Diceros bicornis minor: one gene and its partner. The protein of the gene in region 1 interacts with the protein of each later gene in a pairwise test. Links are inferred from orthologs where the notes say so. Each region holds a gene or a part of one and is shown in the gene's direction. Other genes may lie near its edges.

Region 1 (7,481 bases):
CCAGGATTGCAAAGACAGAGTAGGTTTCTAGCAGAGAGGCTAGACCATTAGCTCGGGAGCCCACTTGCATGGGCTGATTCCTGCCTCTGCTACTATCTGTGGGGTTCAGGCCAGTTCCTTCGCATCAGTTTCTTCCACGCATCACCACTGAAATCGTGTAACGATTAGAAAGAGTTACAAGAGTTACAGTAAGACATGTATTACTGTGACGTGGTTAGAGTAGTGTCTGGCACTACAGAAAATACCCAATAAAAGTTAGTTTTTATTGCTATTTGACAAAGTCCCTTCTTCCCCAAGCACACCATCTAGTTTCCACGTGATCTGATTTATACAGTTATTACTGGAAGGCCTGGGGTGGCTACTTTCCTGTCCCAGGAACAGTCATTGTTTCTCCTAGTGTAGCAAGAGGAGGTACGGGGTTAGTACAATTGTCACTTGCTTAATAGGAAGTGTCAAGTGATTTTGGGCCCCCTTTTTCTTGAACTTTGGTCACAGCAGAACTTTCTCTTAGTGCACCTTACACAAGGGTGTATACAATACACAAGGAAGTGAAACATAAATGAAAAGAGAAGTAAGTGGATTTCCACAGTGGGGTGGAGAAGAGACAGGTAAAATGGTTGGTTACAGATTAAGCAGCCTTCGCATCTGTAAGGGAACTGTTCTTTCCAACAGAAAGGAGTGAAATAATACTGTACACACATTGTTGAATCAACAAGCACCAATTAAGTGTCTTGTCCTGGACAAGACAGGCAGTGATCTGGCCTTTGAGAGCTTAGAGTATAGGTGGAGAGCCATTAAAGGTGCAAGAACTGTCCCCTGTACCCCTCTCCAGCCCTATGTCGAGTGGTCTCTTCCTCTTTTGCTCTGTAACACACAGACCTTTCATTCCCTTGAATGAGCCAAGCTCCTTCCTGCCACAGGACTTCCACTTATGCAGTCTCCTCTGTCCCCTCTGTCTATAATGCCTCTCCCCTCCCCCGCCCCCAACACCTCCATGGTCTGGTTGGTTGATTTTAGACTTCCTTCTGCTCTGACTTTCTTGACAAGCCGCCCCCAATCTAAATGAGTGCCCTCATAACTCTTTCTTAGAGCGCCATTATGATTTTTCACAGCACTTAGAGTATTTGTAATCGTATATTGTTAATTGTCAGTCATTCTGTTCTAGTGGTTGTTACATTGCCTTACATGCTCTAGGCCTTCAATCAATATTCTTTGAAAAAAGGCACAAGCTTTATACTAAGTGAATATTTACATACATGTCTATATATGTACACATGCCTTTATATATATGTGTCTGTACTGCACTTTCTTAAATAGTGCTAAATTTAAAAAGCCAAAGCACTGCAGTTACTCAATACTAACAACTGTGCTTTTCATTTTCCAAATTTTGAATTTAATAAGCGCTTAGAAAAAACTTTTGCCTGGCCTAATAAAAACACAATGGCCACGAGTAAATTTAAAATTCCATGCTTTCTGCCTTACGTAAGATATCATAAATAGTCTTTTAACAAGTTTCCAAGAAACTTGACAATTTGAGAGAATGTCTTTTTTTTCAATGAATCAAGGACATGAATGCAAAGGGCATGAGTCCTGAGTTACTGTAATTCAGCTAGTGAGTGAGCTGTAGAACGTTGAGTGCTCATTTACTCCCTGGTTATAGTTTCCTCACTTATAAGGAGGAAAGGAAACGACTCAAACGTGTGAGGGAGCTCACTTGTCAGCAAAGGCTTTTCAGGAATAAGGAAACAGCCAGCCTAGGATAACTCACATGAAGATGCGTTTGTTTCCTTTGTCCCTGGTTTACTTGTAGACCCCTTGACACCCCTCTCTCTGTTCGTCCCAGTTGATGTAATATCTACTTTTTTCTTCAAGGTTTACAATAACATGCTATCCAAAATGGTTCTGAACACATTTGCTTTGTTTTCTTGAACCTAAAATATAGGAGTGGAGTTTTCCGGGAAGTCTCCCTGTTACCAGGCTTGCGTTTCTCCATCGGCCTCAGCCACCCCACCTCTGTCCCGTAGCTTGCATGTACCGTGGACTGGTGTGCTCGAGTTCTCACCACCATCTTGGCCCACCTATTTGTGTAAACCCATCTGTCTGTGCTCTGCTTATCTTTTACCAAAACCACAGTTCAACAGATGAAATGTTTTTGTCCTTAGATGTCAACTAAACCTTTTTAAATGCACAAAATTTACCTACAGACATAAGCTGAACCACGTGGAAATTTTCTAATTTGTGACTTACCTCAGCAAGTGTTGGGTCCTCCACTCCCTGTGCCCGGTTCCTCCCCTCCTAGTCTAGTGTCTCATTCTCACGTCTTCATGGGAAGCTAGGGACATAGAATTCTGTGATTGTTTTTAGAGCAGTAACATTTTGCTAAAATAATTCGGAACATAGATCCCCATCTTGGGACTCTGAGAAAAAAGTTAACTGATTTGTTCTTAGGCAATTAAGAAGTAAATTTGGATAAATAATCCAAATCTAGTTTATGCCTAGTTTATAGGCATAGTAGTTTTAGGATCTTCCAAAATTAGGGATGCTTCCCCCTTGGGTTTCAGATTTTATGTTAATACTTTTTGGAAGCAATAAGAGAGAAATTTCAGGAACTCAAGAGATGGGTCAAGGGTTTCACTGTAACTGATTGTGGAGCCATAATTGGATGTCACCTGCAGTGTTCCTCTGTCTTCATGGTAGTGGAGGTTTATAATCATCAAATAGCCCAGAGCAGCAGTGGGGCTTATGGTGCCTGAGGGAATAATCTTAACAGAGATATACTTATATGTATATAGCATATGATGCCTTAATCTCCTCAGAAGCTCTCATTTAACAGAGTCCATCAGATTCTAATTTGAAGTTCTGTATTTGTCCTGAAGTAATTAAGATTCCAGAGGTACAATACCTAATATGACTTTATTAGAGACGTTTTTCTTTTAGTACAGGATAAATATGATTTTCTCTTTCTTGGAAGTCTTTCCTGGATTTGTTTCTTACTAGGAGTAGTGGAAAGCATTATTTAAAAGTTACCATGTTAATTAATTCACTAATTAATTCACCCAGGGCTCAGCCCAGTCATTTCCAAAACTGAGTGATATTATGTCTTGTAATAGACCCATTAAGTTTGAGGAAATCAAAAAATCCTTAAGATAGGAAGTGAGAGAGGACAGGGATGACCCTGGTGGACATCTTTATTCCCCAAGTGCTTCCTTCCACCTGGCACATCTGCAGGTACACCTGTCACTTAACTTTTTGCACAGAGCTTATGACATACCATTTTTCATGGTTGACATACCATGTAACCACAAAAATACTAAAACCTACAGGAAAGTGAGGACCCCGATTTTGTTCTGCAGTAGTTTTGACAACAGATACTCATCTTCGCAAACCTACAGTTTCACTCAAAATAATGTAACCAAATAGGAAGGAAAAGAGCAAATATGAAGGAATGAGCCCTGTTTTAGAGTCTGTTTAGTTCTGCTTCCTTTGATTTGTGTGCGAGGGGGGAATGATCTCTGAGGCCGTGAAGGGTAAGTACTCTCGCGTGCGTAGTTGGTGCTCATTCGGCAAGGACTGGGGAACTTGTGGTGCTCCATTGCTTAAGAGCCTCCACCTGTTCCTAATATGATGCATAGATTCGTTTATGAATTCCCTCTCCTTCTGGCACATCCTTTCTTTCTGACTGGCACTGGACTTCCCAGGCTCAAACAACTAAATGTAAGAAAAAAAATGTTTTAATTAAAAATATTTTAATTTTTTTAAATTAAAAAAATTTTATTTTAATAATTTTAAAGTCCCCCCCACATGGAGGGACTTGCCTATGTTCCTCCTGTGGGTATTATTCAGGATTTATCCTTGAAATGAGTGCTTTTCTGACATATAGGCAAAGGGAGAATGATGGAAACAGTAGTCCTTTAAAATTGCCATTAAATTGGTTAAAGGCCGTAGAACATTTTTTTTAATTAAGCATAGTAAAGAGTGGTATCCTGGGAGCAACAAAAGATAGATAAACACTTCAGAGATGTTTAGTGCAGTGTGTTAATTAAGGGATACTATCTATTTCCACTGCAGAACTTCAGTCTTTTCATTTTGTGTATTTCTTAAGGTACTTTTGGCATATTTTAAGGTAATGGGTATTACTTTTAACATATAATCTTTGATCATGGAAATGTGAGGCTGACAAAAGTAATTGTGGCATTGGTATGTATGAATTTAGTCTCCTTTTATAGTTCTTTCTATGACAGACCCTAAACAGAAGTGTGGCCTATGAAAACTTTTAGCCTACTTCGGTTGCATGTGTTTATTAGCTTATTGATCATGTTATGGATTAATTACAGAAAAACATAAATTTTAATCTTTTTGCCATTCTAGCCTGAGGAGGTCCACAGCAGTTAGTTTGTAACTAGTTAATGAAAACTCAGGTTACTGTTATTCTAAGAAAATTCAAGAAATCAAATCAGTAACTCAAAATTTTTGCTTTATTCCAAGGCCAAGTAAACCCATTCTGAATTCTTCACCCATTGCTGAACTTCTTGAGTATATTTAATTAAGAGGTGACTATAATTGAATTGTTCTTAAGAGTTTTACTAGATTATGAAATTTTAAGCTTAAAGTAGGCAATAATAAAGATATAAAATTAAAAGAAAAGGCAGGACGTGGTTTTTTTCTTAGGAACACCAGATTTTAGTTAAGGATATAGAGGCATCAGTTGCCTTTTATTTACCATTTAGGATGACGCAGTTGGAGGAGTTATTAAAGGGGCAGCCAAGACTGGAGAGGGCCTGAGAGGAGCAGGGCTGATCATATTGGTGTGTGGGTCCAAGATAAAACAGTCAGGTAACAGCGTTTTTGCCTCCTATGTTAATTGTAATTAACAGGCATACAGGGGATTGGATTTAAGGTGAAGAGATAGGGAAAATAGTGACTGGGTAGTAGTGGAAAGGACTAGGATGGGATCAAGGCAACGGAAGGCAGAAGTACTGAGTACAATGTTTTTTATTATTATTTTCCTGTAGTGTATCATTTTCCTTTGTGTATGTAACCATACACAAAGTTTCTGTTGGATTGTCATGGTGCTACAACTATGACAACCCCTGAGAGTGGCTTCTCTGGCTAACAGCAGGACTTGAACCATAGAACAAAGGGTCAGGCCTCTTCAGATTTACTGTTCATGTTGGGCAGAACACTTCCACAGGACCTGGAAGCCAGAGATCTTTGCAGTAGTGTGACCTGGTAGCTAACCTCTGTATCTGTCCTGTTGAACCGTGCATGGAGCCCAGCCCTGAAGCCAGGTACTGGATCACATGCTCCGTTTAGGTTGTCTAGGTTGGAAGGCTCTGATTTTTAACTTGGTTACGATGTGGGGTCTTAGGCTAACAGTGTTTCCTTCCTGCTGTCGCGTCATTGGACCCTCTTCTCCCAAGGTTTTTAGAAATTGTCCCCCATCCTGGGCTGACCCACAACTTCTAAAGTCCTACTCAGAGCCACGGCCATGGGGAATGGGGTCAAGGCCGAAGGGTTTAAATGACCAGATTCTGGTAGACTAGGTTGAATAGAGGAATATCCTATGTGTTATTGTCAGAGTATCTTGTTTCAACAGTCAAATTTCACCTGTAAATTTGTAGACAGTCTATTAATATTGTCTTCTTTTTCAGAACTTCTTTAAATCATGGACAAACAAAGTAAGTAGTTTTCTTTAAGTGTTTACTTTCTTCATAATGTTAAGTCTGTTTTTAATGTGTTATTTGTCATAATGTTTTATTCGGTTTCTGAAAGGATATAATTTGCTTTGTGTTTATGCTCCAGGATCCAAAGTCTAGTTTACTGTTTTGATTATAGAGTAGATGTATGCAAATATCCACTACCACTAATTTTCCCTTTAAGAATAAAAAAGCCATAGATAAACCTAAGAAATTTTAGGCTTATTGTGAAATACTCGTATAATTTATACTATATTCCATCCAGATCAGTTTTCTCTTTTCTATGTGTGTTTTATATACATAATGATTATTCAAATCATATTAATTAACAGATAATAAATTTAATGTCAGTCTGTTGTAATAAAATCCTCAGATACAACCCCGATATATATTTCATAACATATACACGTGAATAGATTTAAATCAATACCAATTATTATGTTCTGACTTTTTCTCTCTCAAGAAAATTCTAAATAAGATAGGTATTGACCAAGTATGTAATAAAAGACTTTGTCTTTCTCAGAGATCCTGAAGAGAAAAACAATACATATCGGGGAAAATATGAAAAACAAAGTCCTATTTTCTGAAGGATTTATATTCTCTGTTTTTCTTTGTTTAGATGGCCACAGAGATGTTTCTCTCTCACCGCAGTGTCAGCCTTGCTAGATACCTCACATACTTTTTAGGACCAGAAACATCGGCTGTCTTTCATGAAGTTTCATGTCTTCTCTTAATGTTTGCTATATTAATTGAATTTTATTTACAAAACTCAAAGCTTTTTAAATGTAAATTTGTATAGTATTAAACTGTTTTATTTGCTACAAGCTTTAGGATGCTTCACATCACTTTAGAAAAGATTCCTTTGGCTACGGTCACCTTTTAACTCTTCAGCATCATGTATATAATGGTGTGTGTGTGTGTGTGAGCATAAATAGAAATAAATAAAATGTATGTATATATGTAAATATACATATATAGAGAAGTAAAAGTAAAATAGCTTTAAGGCAATGTGATTTTTGTAAGTTATTTCAAGTTGCATTTCACACATGCAGAAACCCATCCATAATTCGTATACTCTTTGGTCTACTTGACCCCTTGCCCATTCACTTATTTTCTCTTTGTATGAATTTCCCTGAATTCCTAAAACCAGGATCATTGCTCTGGTACCAAAACTCCAGAGATTATGAGCTCTTAATTTCTTGAATCTGTCAGCTCCTGTATATGTGTGTGTATTTGTTCAAACAACGGTACTGTTAAGAGATACCAAAATACGACGTATCAATTCAGGGTAGGTCTTTAAGTCTGACTTGCAGTGTGTTTCCTTGAGATCTGTTGAGTCTGATCTTGTAGTTTCCAGCTTGGGTTGGGAGTGGGGGCCGTGAGCAGAGCCTTGAGAGCTAGAGAACTAGGAGCTAGGCCACGACCTGAAGACCAGAAACAGAAGGGAATGGCTGGGATGAAATGACTTGTGGCATTTCAGAGATCTGTGGTAATTCGGGGTATGTCGCAGTGTCTGTTCAGAGAACAGCGCTGATTGAAGTAGAGGATTCTCTGTTGCCTGAATGTGCAGAGTCTCCATGGACTCCATTCTGCTGAAGTTATTATGAAGCTAAGTGAATGGAGGAGAAAGGGGGCCCACAATTCAGCCTTCCTGCTGAAACCACATGTCGAGTGGTCTTTGAAGGCTCTTGATAGAGAAATATATAGAAAATGTATCAGATTGAAAGTTTCACCAACATTTTCTTCTGTATTGATGCCATGTCCCCTTGATTCCAAAAGAAATTA
Region 2 (7,893 bases), on another chromosome or scaffold:
GGGCAGGGGAGAAGCCCCAGCTCCTTTTGGAGTGTGGTGTGCTTAGGACCAGAAAGACTAGGGTGTGAGTCAAGACTGGGAGGGGTCTGGGGGGGATAATTTGCTGGCCCCCTCACCTCAGCCGTCTTCTCCAGGTGGCCATCAAAGTGATCCCCCGGAATCGTGTGCTGGGCTGGTCCCCCTTGGTGAGTATCTTTGGAGTCCTTCCTGACCTGGCGACGCCATCTCTGACGATGGACTTACCCCCTTGCCTTTCTACGCTCCTGTGACTCCTTGGGCCCTGTAATGGTGAGGAGAATACTCCTACCAGCCCATGTTTACTCCCCTATGGTGACATCCACACCTCCATACAGTTCTGACTCACCCCAGTTCTCCTAGAGCCCTGGATTCTCCCCTCCAAACCCCCTTTCTCATGCTCCCTCCAAACACTGCTTCAGGGGCTGCCCGCAGGGCATGCTGGTGGGTAAAGAGGGGCAGAGGTCACTGGTTGCCATGGTGACCGTGGCTGCTTCTCTTCTGCCGTTAGAGCGCTAACGGACAACAGGGCGGGTCTGGGTAAGTTGTAGAGGCGGGAGCGCCCCCTGGCGGGCTCTGGGAAGCTGCGCCTGCGCAGCCTGTGAGACTAAGAGGGAGAAAATGCGCCTGCGTAGTAGCGGCATTCTCATCGCTGTGAGAAAACCTGTCTGGGGCTGTGCAAGTCAGTGGACTGGCCAGGAGAGGGCTCCACCTCAGGCAGGAAGGCTGCTTCTGGCAGTCTGTGTGCCCACGCGGGGCTTCTAGAGTGGGGTGGCTTTGTGGCCAGTAACATTTATGCCTTTTATTGAGCACCGACTGTATGCCTCAGGCTTTTTGCTTCATTATAAAAGCTTATAGTATTCCAAATTCCACTAAGACCTTCGTTCAACACGGTTCTAGGTGCTTGGTGACAATGACAAAATATCACATGATAACATTATTGAGTTCTTACTTTGTGCCAGTTCCTTTGCAATTAATCACTTTCAGCTATTTAACATTTGTATATTGAGCACCTGCTGTGTGCCAGACACAATTCTAGGCAATTCACAAAATACCACATTTATTGAGAGCTCGTTTTGTGCTAGGTCCTTTTCTACTAGTTGTTTTCACCTATTTAACAAATATGTATTGAGCCCTGTTAGCCAGCACTGTTCTAGCGCTTGAGCTATGTCAGTGAACAAAACAGACAAACCATTGTGGGAGAGCAAAATTTGGCCACCCCAAAATATATCTCTTTACCTTGATTATTTTCTCTGATGGACATTTGACCTCCCCCAAACTGCCTAAAGAATTTAACATAGAAAACCTGTTTCAGGAAGGAGCCACTGTCTCTTGATGGGTGTAATATAATGTAAAATAGATGTTACAATAGGAAAGGCACCAACAAGCCCATCTTATCAAAAGTTCTGTCTCCCCCAGGCCACATTCTGTAGATGGTCCTGCAAAGAGTTGCCAGACAAACATTTACATTTATAAGGGAAATATCCATTTGTAAAGGTACCTCCCTCCCTACTGGGAAGAGGGGGGATGACCTCATTTCTAGAAACTTATCAGTGTGGAAGAGGAGGCCTTAAATCTGCATGATAACCTTACTCTTGTTTACTGTGCTTTTCTGGTAATCTCCCACAACTGACTCCCCCCCTCCCCCAACATCCTCCTTTGTCTTTAGGTGAAGATAGTATTTAAGATGAGAATCTCTGCCATTTTGTTGAGAAACTCAGTTTCCCTGGTTTCTCCCATGTATACATGTTATTAAACTTGGTATTATTTTCTCCTGCTAACCTGTCTTTTAATTATTTGGCCAGCCATAGAGCCTTAAGGGAAAGGGCGGTGGCGGCTGGGGGGGGATTCTCCCTCTTCCCCAACACCATTATACAATAATAGTATTTACTGAGTGCTAACTCCATGCCAGACTCTATGCTATACTTTCATCTATTGGACAGACATTTATTGAGTACCTGCTGGGTGTAAAGTACTGTTCTACTCTCCTTGGAGATGTCCTTGAACAAAACAGATAAAGTATTACACAGTAGTGTTCATCAGTTGCTGCTTCTGCCAAAGGCCTTTTGTTAAGAACCACTTTCATTTATTCTTCAAATATTTAGTGAGCTCCTGTTACATGCCAGATGTGCACAGGCTTTAGGCTCAATTCACCTTCCCAGTGGCTGTGTGAGTTTGAGCCCTTAAGACAAGGAAACTGAGGTCCAGGGAGGAAAGCAGGTTGCTCAAGGCCACACAGTTAGGAGGCTGAGGGTCTATGATTTAAGTTCAGGTGAAAAGTCAGCCTCAGAGCTGCTGGCCTGATGTCTGTGTTCTCTTTGCTCTCCCTGCTTCCCCCCACAGTCAGACTCGGTCACATGCCCACTAGAAGTGGCCCTGCTATGGAAGGTGGGTGCAGGTGGTGGACACCCTGGTGTGATTCGCCTGCTTGACTGGTTTGAGACACCAGAGGGATTCATGCTGGTCCTCGAGCGGCCTTTGCCCGCCCAGGATCTCTTTGACTACATCACAGAGCAGGGCCCATTGGGTGAAGCCCGAAGCCGCTGCCTCTTTGCCCAGGTAGTGGCAGCCGTTCGGCACTGCCATGCCCGTGGAGTTGTCCATCGTGACATCAAGGATGAGAACATCCTAATGGACCTCCGCCGGGGCTGTGCCAAACTCATCGATTTTGGTTCTGGCGCCCTGCTTCATGATGAACCCTACACTGACTTTGATGGTAAGGCTTCCCTAAATCTCAGTGCGGGGGGGATTTACCTTTTATCTTGATGGCCTCTTGACCTTTGACTTCCAGTGGTAAGGTGTGCTGTAACCCTTGATCTATAATGTACCGTTATAAGGTTCTTGATTTTTAATATTGGGGACTCTCAAGCCTTGCCCTCTGATAAAGTCCATCTTCTGACAGCGCTCTCACCTTGTTCTGGGCTCTTATTCTGCTGAGGGGATCCTGTTATTATCCTGAGTATTCTTTTTCTGGTAAGGGGATCCTACTTTTAAGTGCTTTAATCCGTTGAGAGTAATCTTTTATCTTAATTGCGCTCTTTCTGGTGATGAGACCCTGCTGTTATAAAGAGCTCCTATTCTGGTAAGGGGACCCTCATATAGAGTGAGTTATCTTAATTCTGGTGAGGGGACCATACTTCCTGGGGAGAGTGGGGTGGGAAGAAGGGCATTAACAGAGAGTGGTCTAACCTCTGGCTTGCGTGCAGGGACAAGGGTGTACAGCCCCCCAGAGTGGATCTCTCATCATCAGTACCACGCACTCCCAGCCACTGTCTGGTCACTGGGTATCCTCCTCTACGACATGGTGTGTGGGGACATTCCCTTCGAGAGGGACCAAGAGATTCTGGAGGCTGAGCTCCACTTCCCTGCCCATGTCTCCCCAGGTGAGGCCCTCACTGGCCCCAGCCCAGTGGACTCCATCCCTCCCAGTGACTAGTGCTCGCAACTGCTAATCTCTTGTGTGCTTCTGCCCTGCAGACTGCTGTGCCCTCATCCGCCGGTGCCTGGCCCCCAAACCCTCTGCCCGACCCTCACTGGAGGAGATCCTGCTGGACCCCTGGATGCAGACACCAGCCGAGGATGCACCCCTCAGTGCCCCCAAAGGAGGTCCCACCCCTTTGGCTTGGTCCCTGATGCCCTAGTCCTGGCCAGGCCCCCACTAGTTGGAATAGCCATCCCATGGCCATGCCGCAGGGATAGATGGACATATGTTGACCTGGTTTTACAGGTCACTAAAAATTCAGTGTTACTAGGGTCTGAGATTGGGGATCAAAGGTCAGAAGACATAAGCCAAGTCTGCCCAGTCCCCATCCCAATCCTGCTAAGGAGCCTTCCTCCCAGAATTTATGGCCTCTTATTCTGGAGCGGGGACTTCTCATTTTGCTAAGGATGTTTATTTGCTTGGAAGTTACTTTCATTCTGAGCCCCAGGACTCTTATTGTGATGTTATAACCCCTACACTAGCACCTCCTGCTACCACCACACAAACTTAGTTCAAATGCTCTTACTTGGGCAAGGGTGCTTTCCTTCTAATACCCCAGCAGCTCATATTTTAGCAAAGGGACCCTTTCCCCGAGCCTAGGGTCCCATATTCAGTTAAGCTGCTTGCCTACCTCAGCCCAGGGTTGCTTATTCTGGGGGAGGTAATGCCCTATTGTTATCCCAGGGCTCTTTTTTTTTTCTTTCTTTCTTTTTGTGAGGGGACCCTACTCTGTTATCCCAAGTGCTCTTATTCTGGTGAGGAGAACCCTACTTCCATGATTTGGGAAGGAATGGGAGATGGACACCACCAGAGTCCACTAGGATGGGGTGAATGGGTTTTTTTTTTGAGGGATGGGGTGGGGGAAATAAGTCTTATTGTTTGTTCTCCTGGGGCTCCCCCCTCCACCTTTTTCAATTCTTGCTGCCTCCTTCTGAGCCAGGATTGTCCAGTTGCTGAAATGTAAATACTTATGTATTAGGGGGAGGGGAGCTCCAACTGTGTCCTCTTCCCTTCTCCCCCTGCCTGGATTATTTAAAAAGCCATGTGTGGAAACCCACTATTTAATAAATGTAATAGAATCAGAAGTGACTGGCCATTTGTGGATGCAGCAAGGAAACCCACTGTTTAATAAATGTAATAGAATCACAAGCGACTGGCCATGTGTAGATGTATGTAGCAAGGCATTTGTGGAGCATCTACTGTATGCTGAGCCAAGAGCGAGATGGACTGGATCCCTATGCCTTCAGGAAGCCTCAGTCTTGTGGTGCCATCCTAAAGATCTTTTATGGGTTCATTTAAGCAGGACCACAAAGAAAAACTGTTGATCCCCCCCAGCTCTTACGTAGCACCCAGTATGTGCAGAAGGGCTCCACTGCAGATTTTGTAGACACTGAAGATGTTTGGGACACATCCCCAAATCAAAGATGGCCAGCTCAGAGGCAGAGAAAACTCCTTTCCCCCAGTCCCAGGGGAGGAAATAAATCCCTTCCCCCTGGGAGAAGAAAAGCACTTTCAGGGTACTGGTGAGGACGGCCCGGGGTTGAGCGCTGAGAGGAATCTTTCCAGCCCATCCTTGTTTTTTAATAACGTCCAGGTGTACTCACCTGTTTTGCCCTTACCTTTTCACCTCTCCCTTGCCTTCTCACCTGCTCATCCCTGTCATCTCTCCTTTCTCAACTCTTGACTTACCTGCCCTGCCATGTTCTATCTTGGTTTCACTTGTCCTGACCTCAGCTGTACCCTTTCTTGCCCTGCTTCCAAAAGCTAACCTGTAAGCCTCTCACCTGCTGGCTTACCTGTCCCCTTCTCACTTTTCCATCCTCAGTGGTGAGTAACTTGTCCTCCCTTCTCTCAGTCTCAACTCACCTGTGCCTTTTCATTAGTATATCCTCTGCTGCTCTGCTTTTATCTGCTGGCTTACCTGCCTGACTCGCACCTGCCCCATCCCCTCAAAGTCTCATTGCCCTCCCAGATGCCCGCGGGCTCTCCAGGGAGCGGGCCCTCGCCAGAAGAGGGGAAAGAGGAACTTAAGGCCAACCGGGAAGGACCTACGAGTTTTGATGCGGAAAGGGCGGTGCCATCTGAAGAAGGTGCCAACAAATAGCCAAGATAGAAGAGGGGCAGCCGAACCAATGAGACGAGGAGTCGGGATGGGCGGGTGATACGGAAAGCGGAATCAAGGAGGACGAGGGCGGGTCTACTAACGAGAATGGGCCAATGAGGCGCTGCAAGGACGGCGGGAGGCTGACCTGGCGGCGTGCCGGGTCTCCAGATCTCGACGGAATTTGGAAATCCCGAGACCGCTGTCTTAGATTCCGTGTTCAGGAGCGGAGGAGAAAAGCCACTGCTAGGGCCAGCCCCTCATTCGCCCCAGCCCCATCCCGGAGGCCCGGAAGCGGAAGTGACGGACACGGAAGTGGCCTGCTGTTGCCGAGGGGACGGGCCAGGCAGATGCCAACATGGCAGCGGTTGGGTCTGGCGGTTCCACCGCGGCGGCCGGGCCAGGGGCGGTCTCTGCGGGGACGCTGGAGCCTGGAACCGCGAGTGCGGGTGAGACAGGCTGTGGCCGAGCAGTCGGCAACGGGGCGGGGGTCGGGATCGCCGGGGGGGGAGGGGGGGGCGTCAGGAAGGTTCCTTACTGAAGCGAGAGACAGCATCCCATATGGACCGACCTATGTGTGAGTGTGGTGGGGAGGGGGTAGGGAGTACGGAACGAACCATTGTGAGTGTTGGGGGCGGGGAAGAGACCATTCTGAGGGTGGGGGGGGTCCCTTCCACATATGGAGAGTAGAGACCACTCTGAGTCTGGGGGTGGTATTTTCTTTTGGGGAGGCTGAGACCACTAAGGCCATTCTGAGTGTGTGAGGTCTGTCCTTATAGAAGGGAGAAACCATTCTGCGAGTGGAAGAGTTCGTCCTTATAGAAGGGAGAAGCTATTCTGAGTGTGATGGTTTCTTCCTTATAAAGGGACAGAGGCTATTGTGAGTTAAGGTGGGGCAGGTCCTTCCTTGCATGATTTAGAAAGTCCATTTTGAGGATGGGGATGTGCTTCATTATACGGAGAGACCGTTCTGGGGGTCCCTTCCTAATGGAGGTAGGGTTAGTTGTATGTTGGAGTCGGAGGGTCCTTCCTTATATGGCAGAGACAGGACGTTCTGAGTGTGCTAGGCCCTTCCTTATAGTAGGGAGAGTCCATTGTGAGTGTGAGTGGAACAAGGAATAACTCCTTGGCTGGAGGTAGGGGGATGCGGTGGTGGGAGGATGACTGGACCATGTGGAATGTAGGGAAATATTTCCTTATATCATTGAGGGAACCAGACCATTCTTGGTGGAATAACCATTCATTATATGGGGTTCAATCCTTGGGACAGTGGGGGAATCATTTCTTATATTTGCTAGACCATTCTAGGTCAGGAGGAATCAGTCATCATAGGAAAGAGGGGCTGGAGAGACCATTCTGAGTGTGAGGGAATGGAATAATTTATTATATGGGAGAAAGACCATTCCTTAGGGGGTGGACATGTCTTATACAGTGGTCCCATTCCCTGTATTGGGGTATCATTCTTTACATGGGACAGTCCCTCATTTAATAGAAGCATCATTTCATATAAATCTTCGGTTTGCACATCCATAAAATGAGAATCCTTATAGTTCCTTTGGAGATCAGAGCGATATAGGGGTCTGTTGAGGTAATCCATATAAATCCCTTAGCCCAGTGATAGGCACACAGTAAGCAGTCAATAAATGTCGAGAATATAGTTGGTATTCTGTCTGGAGGAGGGTTGTTTCTCACTCAGGAGAGGGAGAGAGGGGGCTGAGGTGGGTCTCCAGTGCCTGCTTCAGCCGTTTCCTGATACCTCAGCAAGGATTCCAGGTATGGGCTGGACAGGGTGGGGCCCACTTCCCCCTTTCTGGCTCTTCCTGCCTGTGGCTGAGGCAGTAGAAGCAAGCAGGCGGGATCAGACCTTCATTGGGTCAGATAGGCAGGCCGAGGGAGGAAGTGGTGGTGGCTAGGAGGATCCTGGTTGAGAAAGGAGAGGAGAGGGTGGCGGTGGGGCTATACCACGGCAGCTTCTGACTCCTTCTTCCCCCTTGCTCTTTCCATTCCCACAGCTCACCGGCGCCTCAAATACATATCCCTAGCCGTGCTGGTGGTCCAGAATGCCTCCCTCATCCTCAGCATCCGCTATGCCCGCACGCTGCCTGGGGATCGCTTCTTTGCCACCACTGCTGTGGTCATGGCCGAAGTGCTCAAAGGTCTCACCTGCCTGCTGCTGCTCTTCGCACAGAAGAGGGGTACGAGCCAGGCAGGGGGGCTGCGCTGGGGTCTGTAGGCGAGACTCTACGTAGTGTGCGTGTGTGTGTGTGTGTATACGTACCCACACCCACATGTGGGG

Evidence for each region.
Region 2: the proteins of phospholipid scramblase 1-like (region 1) and SLC35A2 interact in a two-hybrid assay, tested with the Homo sapiens proteins (2 studies listed by BioGRID and IntAct). The two-hybrid records come from large-scale screens. The link is inferred for Diceros bicornis minor from reciprocal best matches to the Homo sapiens genes PLSCR1 and SLC35A2.

The regions. Positions count from the first base shown.
Region 1 is NC_080741.1:8,031,567-8,039,047, forward strand, and holds the start of phospholipid scramblase 1-like, read left to right. Parts: upstream 1-4,123; 5' UTR 4,124-4,550; intron 4,551-5,651; 5' UTR 5,652-5,665; coding exon 5,666-5,678; intron 5,679-7,481. UniProt on the Homo sapiens protein: Catalyzes calcium-induced ATP-independent rapid bidirectional and non-specific movement of phospholipids (lipid scrambling or lipid flip-flop) between the inner and outer leaflet of the plasma membrane resulting in collapse of the phospholipid asymmetry which leads to phosphatidylserine externalization on the cell surface.
Region 2 is NC_080781.1:42,171,928-42,179,820, reverse strand, and holds the start of SLC35A2 (UDP-galactose translocator), read left to right. Parts: upstream 1-4,732; 5' UTR 4,733-5,955; coding exon 5,956-6,046; intron 6,047-7,609; coding exon 7,610-7,792; intron 7,793-7,893. Other genes in the region: PIM2 (serine/threonine-protein kinase pim-2), read left to right, coding at 135-185, 2,359-2,731, 3,222-3,398, 3,493-3,656. UniProt on the Homo sapiens protein: Transports uridine diphosphate galactose (UDP-galactose) from the cytosol into the Golgi apparatus, functioning as an antiporter that exchanges UDP-galactose for UMP.